2 linked regions of the Danio rerio genome follow. The protein of the gene in region 2 purifies or fractionates together with the protein of the main gene of each other region. This does not show direct contact. Links are inferred from orthologs where the notes say so. Each region holds a gene or a part of one and is shown on either strand. Other genes may lie near its edges. The genes, in order: ndufaf8 and ndufaf5.

The links.
Region 1: the proteins of ndufaf5 (region 2) and ndufaf8 purify together in Homo sapiens (affinity purification with mass spectrometry; 3 studies listed by BioGRID and IntAct, counting the BioPlex papers as one, with this or other methods). This does not show direct contact. The link is inferred for Danio rerio from reciprocal best matches to the Homo sapiens genes NDUFAF5 and NDUFAF8.

What each region holds. Positions count from the first base shown.
Region 1 is NC_133187.1:36,733,310-36,737,691, forward strand, and holds ndufaf8 (NADH dehydrogenase [ubiquinone] 1 alpha subcomplex assembly factor 8), read right to left. Parts: upstream 3,121-4,382; 5' UTR 2,945-3,120; coding exon 2,864-2,944; intron 2,417-2,863; coding exon 2,306-2,416; intron 873-2,305; coding exon 852-872; 3' UTR 709-851; downstream 1-708. Other genes in the region: AP-4 complex accessory subunit tepsin, read left to right, coding at 3,563-3,601. UniProt on the Homo sapiens protein: Involved in the assembly of mitochondrial NADH:ubiquinone oxidoreductase complex (complex I, MT-ND1). Required to stabilize NDUFAF5.
Region 2 is NC_133176.1:54,543,903-54,547,734, reverse strand, and holds part of ndufaf5 (arginine-hydroxylase NDUFAF5, mitochondrial precursor), read right to left. Parts: intron 3,044-3,832; coding exon 2,980-3,043; intron 2,769-2,979; coding exon 2,721-2,768; intron 2,192-2,720; coding exon 2,088-2,191; intron 2,011-2,087; coding exon 1,971-2,010; intron 1,453-1,970; coding exon 1,255-1,452; intron 1-1,254. UniProt on the Homo sapiens protein: Arginine hydroxylase that mediates hydroxylation of 'Arg-111' of NDUFS7 and is involved in the assembly of mitochondrial NADH:ubiquinone oxidoreductase complex (complex I, MT-ND1) at early stages. May also have methyltransferase activity.

The sequences.
Region 1 (4,382 bases), on a different chromosome or scaffold from region 2:
GTAGAGCGCTGAAAACGTGTGAATGAAGCCCATATGACGGAAGGCCACAAACAAAGATCATGACTAAGCTAAAGCATTTTCTTCTTGATATACAGGTCACTGCTTTTCTGGCAACAGTTTTTTAATACCCGATCCGTCCCTCTAATTGGCTGCTTGAATTGTTTGTTGATCCCCAGTCATTAGTTGCTGCTTTTATGGCCCTTCTATCAATTAACATGTGGCTAATGAGGGTTCAGGTTGCGCAGGAAGGGTGTATTTAACAGTGGCACGGCTTTACATTCCATACGAGACGACTAGGAGCCCATAATCTTTTGTGGTGCCATTGACGTACACCCCACGGATACACATTAATCAGTCGGCCTTTCATGTTTCGGCCGGCTTTTGTTTGATTGGAAACAAACCCCCTAAAACCGCCATTTTGGATTTTAGGAGCGAGTCCAGATTTGAAGGTGGAATCGTGTGACGGTCAAGAGCGTCATAATGACCACCCATCATGTAGCACCTCATATCTCATTTCTCCCTCATCAATTACACACTCTGAACAACAGCGAATGTCTGCTTATCATTAGTCAGGCTCTTTTATCCTCATTCTGGTATATTGATTTGTGGAAAGGGGAGGGTAATGGATGCAGACGGTGAAATAATTCAGGCCAAACTGCCTCTGTATGTTATGTTCTATGTCTGAAGAAAAAACATTATTATTAGAGATTTTATATATAAAAAAGAGACTTTATTATAGATTTGTACACAATGGAGTTATTGTTTTGAGACATTATTGTACAGTACAGTCATGCATATTAACAGAGAAATGGTTCACTGGGAAATTATAATAATCTCCAACATAATATTCTTCACTTTACTGCTTTTTTCGCCTGCAAAAAATGAGAAACAATTAGTTATTGTCCCATTTTGACATCTGTATCAGATTAAGTTTATGATATATATAAATACATAGCATCTAAAATGGCAGTAGAGCAACTTTATTGATTCAAATAACTTGTATAATCAAAATAACATATCAAAACACGTTTAAAAAACAGCATCATCCTAAACATGTCATATTTAAATATTAGGGGTGTAACAGATCACAGTTAATCCGTGATTCATAAGGATCACAACACACGGTTCGGAACACACATGATCCATGGATTAATGTGTTTTTTACTGGTAGATTAATCCAAAATTTTAAATTATCACAGAGAGATCTAGCGTCTCACGTCATTCAAATCACATGTATGAAAGCATTTAGGCTTTTCTGTAAAATATAACGAAGATGGACTAAGTTGTGGTGGGTTATTCGGGATGTGGTGGGTTTTTCAGTTTATTAAAAGTGTTTTCTGTCACTTCATGTTTAGCCTGCATCGATGCATTCAGTGTAAGCTGCACGATTAATCATTGAAAGATCGGGATCTTAACACCCACGCAATATTTATTATAAATAATGGTGATTTGCATATATTCATTCGAATAGCTGCATTCAAATCTGAAAACGCGAAAATCAAGAAAGAGATTGAGTATTTAGTCTTTGAGTTAGTTTCAAACAGTAAAATAACACCGAAGTACTGGAATAACAGTTTAAAGTTTGGATAAAATCACTGATGTTTATGGTAGAGATTAAAATCACCATCATTAATGACGCTCAAAAATGAAAGTTGTAGGCAGCAATTACATTATTTAAATCAATAGGTGGCGACAACCAGGCATCAATAATATGCCACTCAGTAATTCTTCAAAAATGATGCATCCAGCAATGAAACATGAAGATTTACAAGTGAATAACTGAATCATTATTCGAAAATTAGACTAAAAATAAATATGGATTGTCCGAATTATAATGTTAGATTTATACTTTTAGAGTCATCAGCAACAGTAGTAGAAACTGAATTGTTCACAGTACTGAATATTTTACAATTTATTTTTATTCAGCTGATTATTTCTTCATTATATTTTTAATAAAATTATAGGTTCTGAGTTTTGTTTGTTAAAACCAAAAGTGTCTTGCAGTGCTGTTTTTGTAATAAATGGGAAGCAAATTACATTTGTCTCCCCTTCTTGGCTGATCAGAAAAAATGGTCCAATCCATGACTAAAAAACGATGTGATCCGAATCCTTAGATTTGGGATCCAATACACCACTAATATATATATATATATATATATATATATATATATATATATATATATATATATATATATATATATATATATATATAGTTTATGATTAGCCATGTCATGAATGAAACACAGTTATTATCTTGCTCGATAGTAATACAAAAGAAGAAAATGTAAGAAAGGAAATCACTCACAGCAGATTGAAAACAGCTTTTCAGTGCTTCAAATTCTTTGACGCACATGTTTCTGGTCAGCTCCTGTTTGCCAGTGGTTGTGGCGGCTACACATTTCCCATAAGCAGTGGCCTATTAACATAATTTAGTTTAATATAATATTTTATTTTTCAGGATTTGTTTATTAGGTGTGGGTTTGAGTGAAATGTTATTATTTGTTTTATTCAGTAAAGGTTTGATAACATTGGTTATATATTAAAACAACAACTGTTATTTAGAGAATTTGTTTTCAGAAAATTACAATTGGTCAAATAAGAAATTAAGTTATTTGGTGTGATTGAAAATAATGATCATTATTCCACCAATTATCGATTTCTTAACTTAAAACGTGTATTGTGCAGGCCATTTTTTTTTAATTCAAACACACAGGGAAGTTGTCAAATTGTGTGTTTGTGTGTATTTACAGTGTACATGTGCATAAATAAATAAATAAATAAATATATATATATATATATATATATATATATATATATATATATATATATATATATATATATAAATAAATAAATGTAAATGTACCTCTCCTGAGCACTGAGCCATCAGCTCTGGGAAGAGTCTCATTCTCGCTCTGCTGCGAGTCCAAACATTTGAACCCGACATAGTTCAAGAAATAAATAATCCTTTTATGGACCAGCAGAATCGAATTTTGCTAGGATTAAATCATTTTAAATCACTGTGTCAGTCAGTTATTCACAAAAGTCATGGAGATGTAAGCAGAGTGTATATTGAACATGGACAGCGCCATGCTGGTGACCTCTGAGACAGCGCGTGTAAACCCTCCCACTGAGGAGAATCTGGTCAATCACAGCGCTACTTCTGAACCAGAAAACATGTCGCTGGTTTATGATTGGTCATAGTTTTCTACGTATGGTGAGCAGCCAATAGCAAGGACGCAGACTTCAAAGACTTTTTCAGGATGTTCACGAAATCCACCCCAGTTTCACGTCCGCGTTTAGTCACGTGCATTTTAGTATCTACGGTTCATGTCAGTGAATCGGTTCCATTGAACAGCTCATTTTAAATAAGCAACCTAGTCGAACTGATTCAACTAAAAGAGTCGACTCACAACTCTGACCTCGCTGTGTCAAACGAGAGTGTCTGAGCTAAACTGAGGTTTCCTGTGGTTTGTGCGGAGATTCTCGCAGGCAGGACCTGCACGGTCATCCGCCCTCTGAGAAATGGTACACAGCCAGGCGAAAAAACACAGACTGCTCCATCATGGTTTCAATACTGGAACGGTTGGTCTTCCTACAAAAAGTACGTATCCGCGACACCGGGCAAAATAACGTCATTTCAGCTGTCGCTATCGCCAAACGTCATTCCTTACGTTGTTTATTCAATATCTGGCGATATATGTGGTCACTACACTGTTTACATGTACAAATGATTGATATTTATGTTTGTAGACGCTGGAAATGTACAATCAAATATGCCATGGTGTTTTGGACAGTGTTGTGGTACTTACTACTATGGTATTTTTGACATGTACCATAGTAATGACACAAGTGCAAATGGTCTGTGGTAAAACCAGGGTAATACTAAAACTGTTTGTTACATTAGTGTCATATTAATACTCTACGTTACATTAAAGTAACCTCAGTATTGCCATAGAACATTTATGGTATGGGTACTGACTGTACTGAAAATGTAAGAGGATTCAGAAAGTAATTCGTATTTATAATTAATAGTAATAATTAGTATTGGTTGATAAATGCTCATTTTTACTGATATTGTTATTAATAGCTTTATAAAAAAATATATAATCAGTAGATGAATTAGGGTTTATTATTTCTTCTGGTGTGTACTGCTGGGCGTTTTCTGCAGTTACAGTTTTAAAATAAAATAACTTGTCCATCCCCATTTCTCATCTCATTTTCATTCATTTTTCTGGGGCCGGGTAGCGGGGGCAGCAGTCTTAGGAGAGAACCTCAGACTTCTTTCTATTCTGACATTCCTCCTGCTCCTCTGAGGGGATCCTCAGGTGATCCTGAGGTGTTTCCAGGCCAGCCAGGAGATATAGTCCCTCCAGCATGTCCTG
Region 2 (3,832 bases):
GGAAGCGTAAAAGTCGAGTAATTTACATGTTAAGTCAATGCAATGACGCAAATAGACATCCTACAGCGCAATACGTGCAAATGAGGCAGTGCGAATGATGCGATTTGCGCGAATAAAGCGGTGCGAGTTGAGAGTTTTGCACGATTGACGCGCTTAACGAATCGCTCAAGTTTGAAAATCTGAACTTCAGCGGACATTCGTGCCGCGTTAACCAATCAGGAGCTTTCTCTTGTGGGGGAGTGATTATGATGTAGTGCCTGCTGTTGGTGTCCCGGAGTAAAAGTTGCTCCGGGGTAGAAGTTGCTCAGTCAGAAGCAACACTGAAAGCCTCCATCCTCCAGCTTAAGTTTTTGGAGGAGTTTATGAGCTCACAGAGCTGGGTGCACCTCTGAAAGATCTAGTGGACTCAGACACTGCTCCAAACGAATCGACGCTGTTTTTCAGCTTTAATAAAGCACATAAAACAGCTATTCTCTCAATAAAAGCCATGTTAGCCTTTTAGCCACCAAGCTAGTGTCACCGGGCAGACAGAAGCCCTGCTCATCAAGCAAATCCACCATACCTACCAACACTCCCATTTTTCCGGGGAGTCTCCTTTATTTCAGACCCATCTCCCGTTTTGAAAACTCCTGGAATTTCAACCCCCTAACCCCCGTTCCTCAGCTTTTTGCTTTTTTGTACAGTCCCCTGATCGCCGACCTTGGTAGGACAGACCAAGGACCCCATTCTTCAGTTTGGGAACACCCCAATCCCCCCTCTGATCTTCAATTCACTAATCCCCCCCCTTCTAATGTTCGCAAATCCACCCCCCCTGCCACCCGGTGTTCCGGATTTTCAGAGACAATTGTTGGCAGGTATGGAAATCTGTGATGATTTTTTAGTGCATTTGACCTTCGGATGAAGCGAGCAAACTCATAAAATGTTCACTCGTCTATTTACGTGTGAATAGCACAATTTATCCGCGCGTTCTGTGTCTGGTGTGAGCACAGCATAAATCTGCCGCTATGTTGATGCATAGCGTGTTTGTAACTCCATCCCTATTTGAAATGTGGGCTGGGAGCACAATCTCATTTGAATTTAAAGCAACAGGCACCAAACGGCACAACTTGGATCAAAGCCTGAATGGGTGAGTTTCAGAGAGCTATAAAACAGTATTAGTGTGGTATTTTGACATGAAACTTCACACTCTAGGGAGTTCAGAGACTTATTTTACATTTTGTAAAAAAGGATGTAATAGGGCCCCTTTATATTTACCACAGTGAGCATGTTGAATCCGGCCTGTCCCAGCAGGTTGCCCAGGTCAGTGACGGCAGTATACGGTGAGATGTGTGGCGCAAACCCGCCCTCCCTCTCCAGCTCCGCCAACTGCAGAGAACAGCGCAGCTCGTACAGCGTCTCACCGCCGACCATCGCTCCGATGAACACACCATCCGGCTTCAACACCTGGTGAATCTGAACACAACACAAGTCCATTCATTCATTTCATTTTCACCATAGCAGAATGAACCGTCAACTTATCCAGCATATGTTTCACGCATCAGATGCCCTTCCAGCTGCAACCCATCACTGGGAAACATCTATACACACTCATTTACACACACACCACAGACAATTTAGCTTCACTCAGTGGCTCAGTGGTTAGCACTTGCGCCTCACAGCAAAAAGGTCACTGCTTCGAGTCCCGGCTGGGTCAGTTTGCATTTCTGTGTGGAGTTTGCATCTTCTCCCCATGTTGGCGTGGGTTTCCCCCACAGTCCCAAGACATGTGGTATAGGTGAATTAGATGAACTAAATTGGCCGTGGTGTATGAGTGTGTATGGGTGTTTCTTAGTACTTAGTTCTAGGTGGAAAGGCATTCGCCGCGTAAAACATATGCTGGAATAGTTGGCGGTTCATTCCGCTGTGGTGACCCCTAATAAATAAAGGGGCTAAGGCAAAGATGAATGAATGATATATAGCGCTACTCATACCTGTCGCAGGGCTCCGGGAAGGTCGTTGATCCAGTGCATACTGAGGAGACAAATAAGGGTTTGTAAATAACAGCTCATTCCTAAATTTCCCCATCATGCACTGGGGTGGTGTGGTACCTCAGGCTGCTGAGCACTAGGTCAAATGTGTTTTCTTTAAAGGGCAGGAACTCCTCGTCTGCCATCACACACTGAGCGGGAATATCACTTTTCTTCCTGTTCCTCTGGAGAGAAAAAAAAAAGCAAGAAAATCTCAGTCATATACAGGTAAAGTCAGAATTATTAGCCCTCCTGTGAATTTTCTTTTAAAGATATTTCCCAAATGATGTTTAACAGAGCAAGACATTTTTCACAGTATTTCCTATAATATTTTTTCTTCTGGAGAAAGTATTATTTGTTTTATTTCAGCTAGAATAAAAGCAGTTTTTATTTATTTTTTTAACCATTTTAATAAAATTATTAGCCCCTTTAAGCTATATTTTTCTTCAATTGTCTACAAAACAAACCATCATTATACAGTGACTTGCCTAATTACCCTAACCTGCCAAATTAAGCCTTTACATGTCACTTTAAGCTAAATACCAGCATCTTGAACTAGCATCATGTCCAAATAAAAGTATTAATTTCTTACAAAAACATCCTGCTGACCCCAAACTTTTGACTGTTAGAATGGGCATAATAACGCAGTTATAATGCACATATTTACAGTATTTTGCATTTGCAAATAAAACAAAGCAACAAGAAGTCTCTTACCAGGGACGAGCTTGAAATGTCTGTTAGAAAGAGACGTTCGACAACCTCCTGAAATGAGAGAGAATCCGTGTTACCATAAGACGCGTTTAATTTAGGAATATAACTTTAAAAATTCTGCTGAAAAACACAAAAAAAGATGTGCACGCTGCTCTTTTCAATAAAGTGAAGATTACAAGCTTCTCATGACTCAAATTACTTTTTTTCTGCACGAAAATATGGATTAAATAATGGATACTTGCCAGACTAAGAACAGTTTTACCTTACTCAAATGCTCTGCGATGTGGCTCCTTCCACATCCTACATCCAGAGCCAGAGGGAAAGTCCTGTAATGACATTCAAAAATGTATGTTTTGTTATTGTTTACTGGAACTCATGTTTTCGCTGCAAAACCCACAGTACTATTCTTATTCTGGTGAAAACTAATAGGAGATATTAGTCAGAATTCCAAAGCTTCTGTTACAATGAAAGTGAACGGAGTCTAGAGCTGTTGAAATCCCCCGAAATAACTTCCAATTCAACTATTCATCACACAGAACTATTGGATGACATACAGTAGTATACATTATTGCCATGTCTGCAGGAAATTTGACGTATTGCATTGATTATATTTAGCTGGAATAGTTGCTTTTAAATATTTCACTCTACCCGATTAAATTTCTATTAATGATTAGTTTTAATTGCTAATATGTGACCCTGGACGGCGAAGCAGTGGCGCAGTAGGTAGTGCTGTTGCAACACAGCAAGAAGGTCGCTGGTTCGATCCTCGGCTCAGTTGGCCATTCTGTGTAGAGTTAGCATGTTCTCCCTGTGTTCGTGTGGGTTTCCGCCGGGTGCTCCGGTTTCCCTTACAGTCCAAAGACATGCGGTACAGGTGAATTGGGTAGGCTAAATTGTCCGTAGTGAATGAGTGTGTGTGTGGGGTTTCCCAGGGATGGGTTGCAGCTGGAAGGGCATCCGCTGCATAAAAAAAAAGCTGGATAAGTTTGTGGTTCATTCCGCTGTGGCAACCCCAGATTAATAAAGGGACTAAGCCAACAAGAAAATGAATGAATGTGACCCTGGACAACAAAACCAGCCTTATTATGCAGGGGCATATATTGGCAATAGACAAA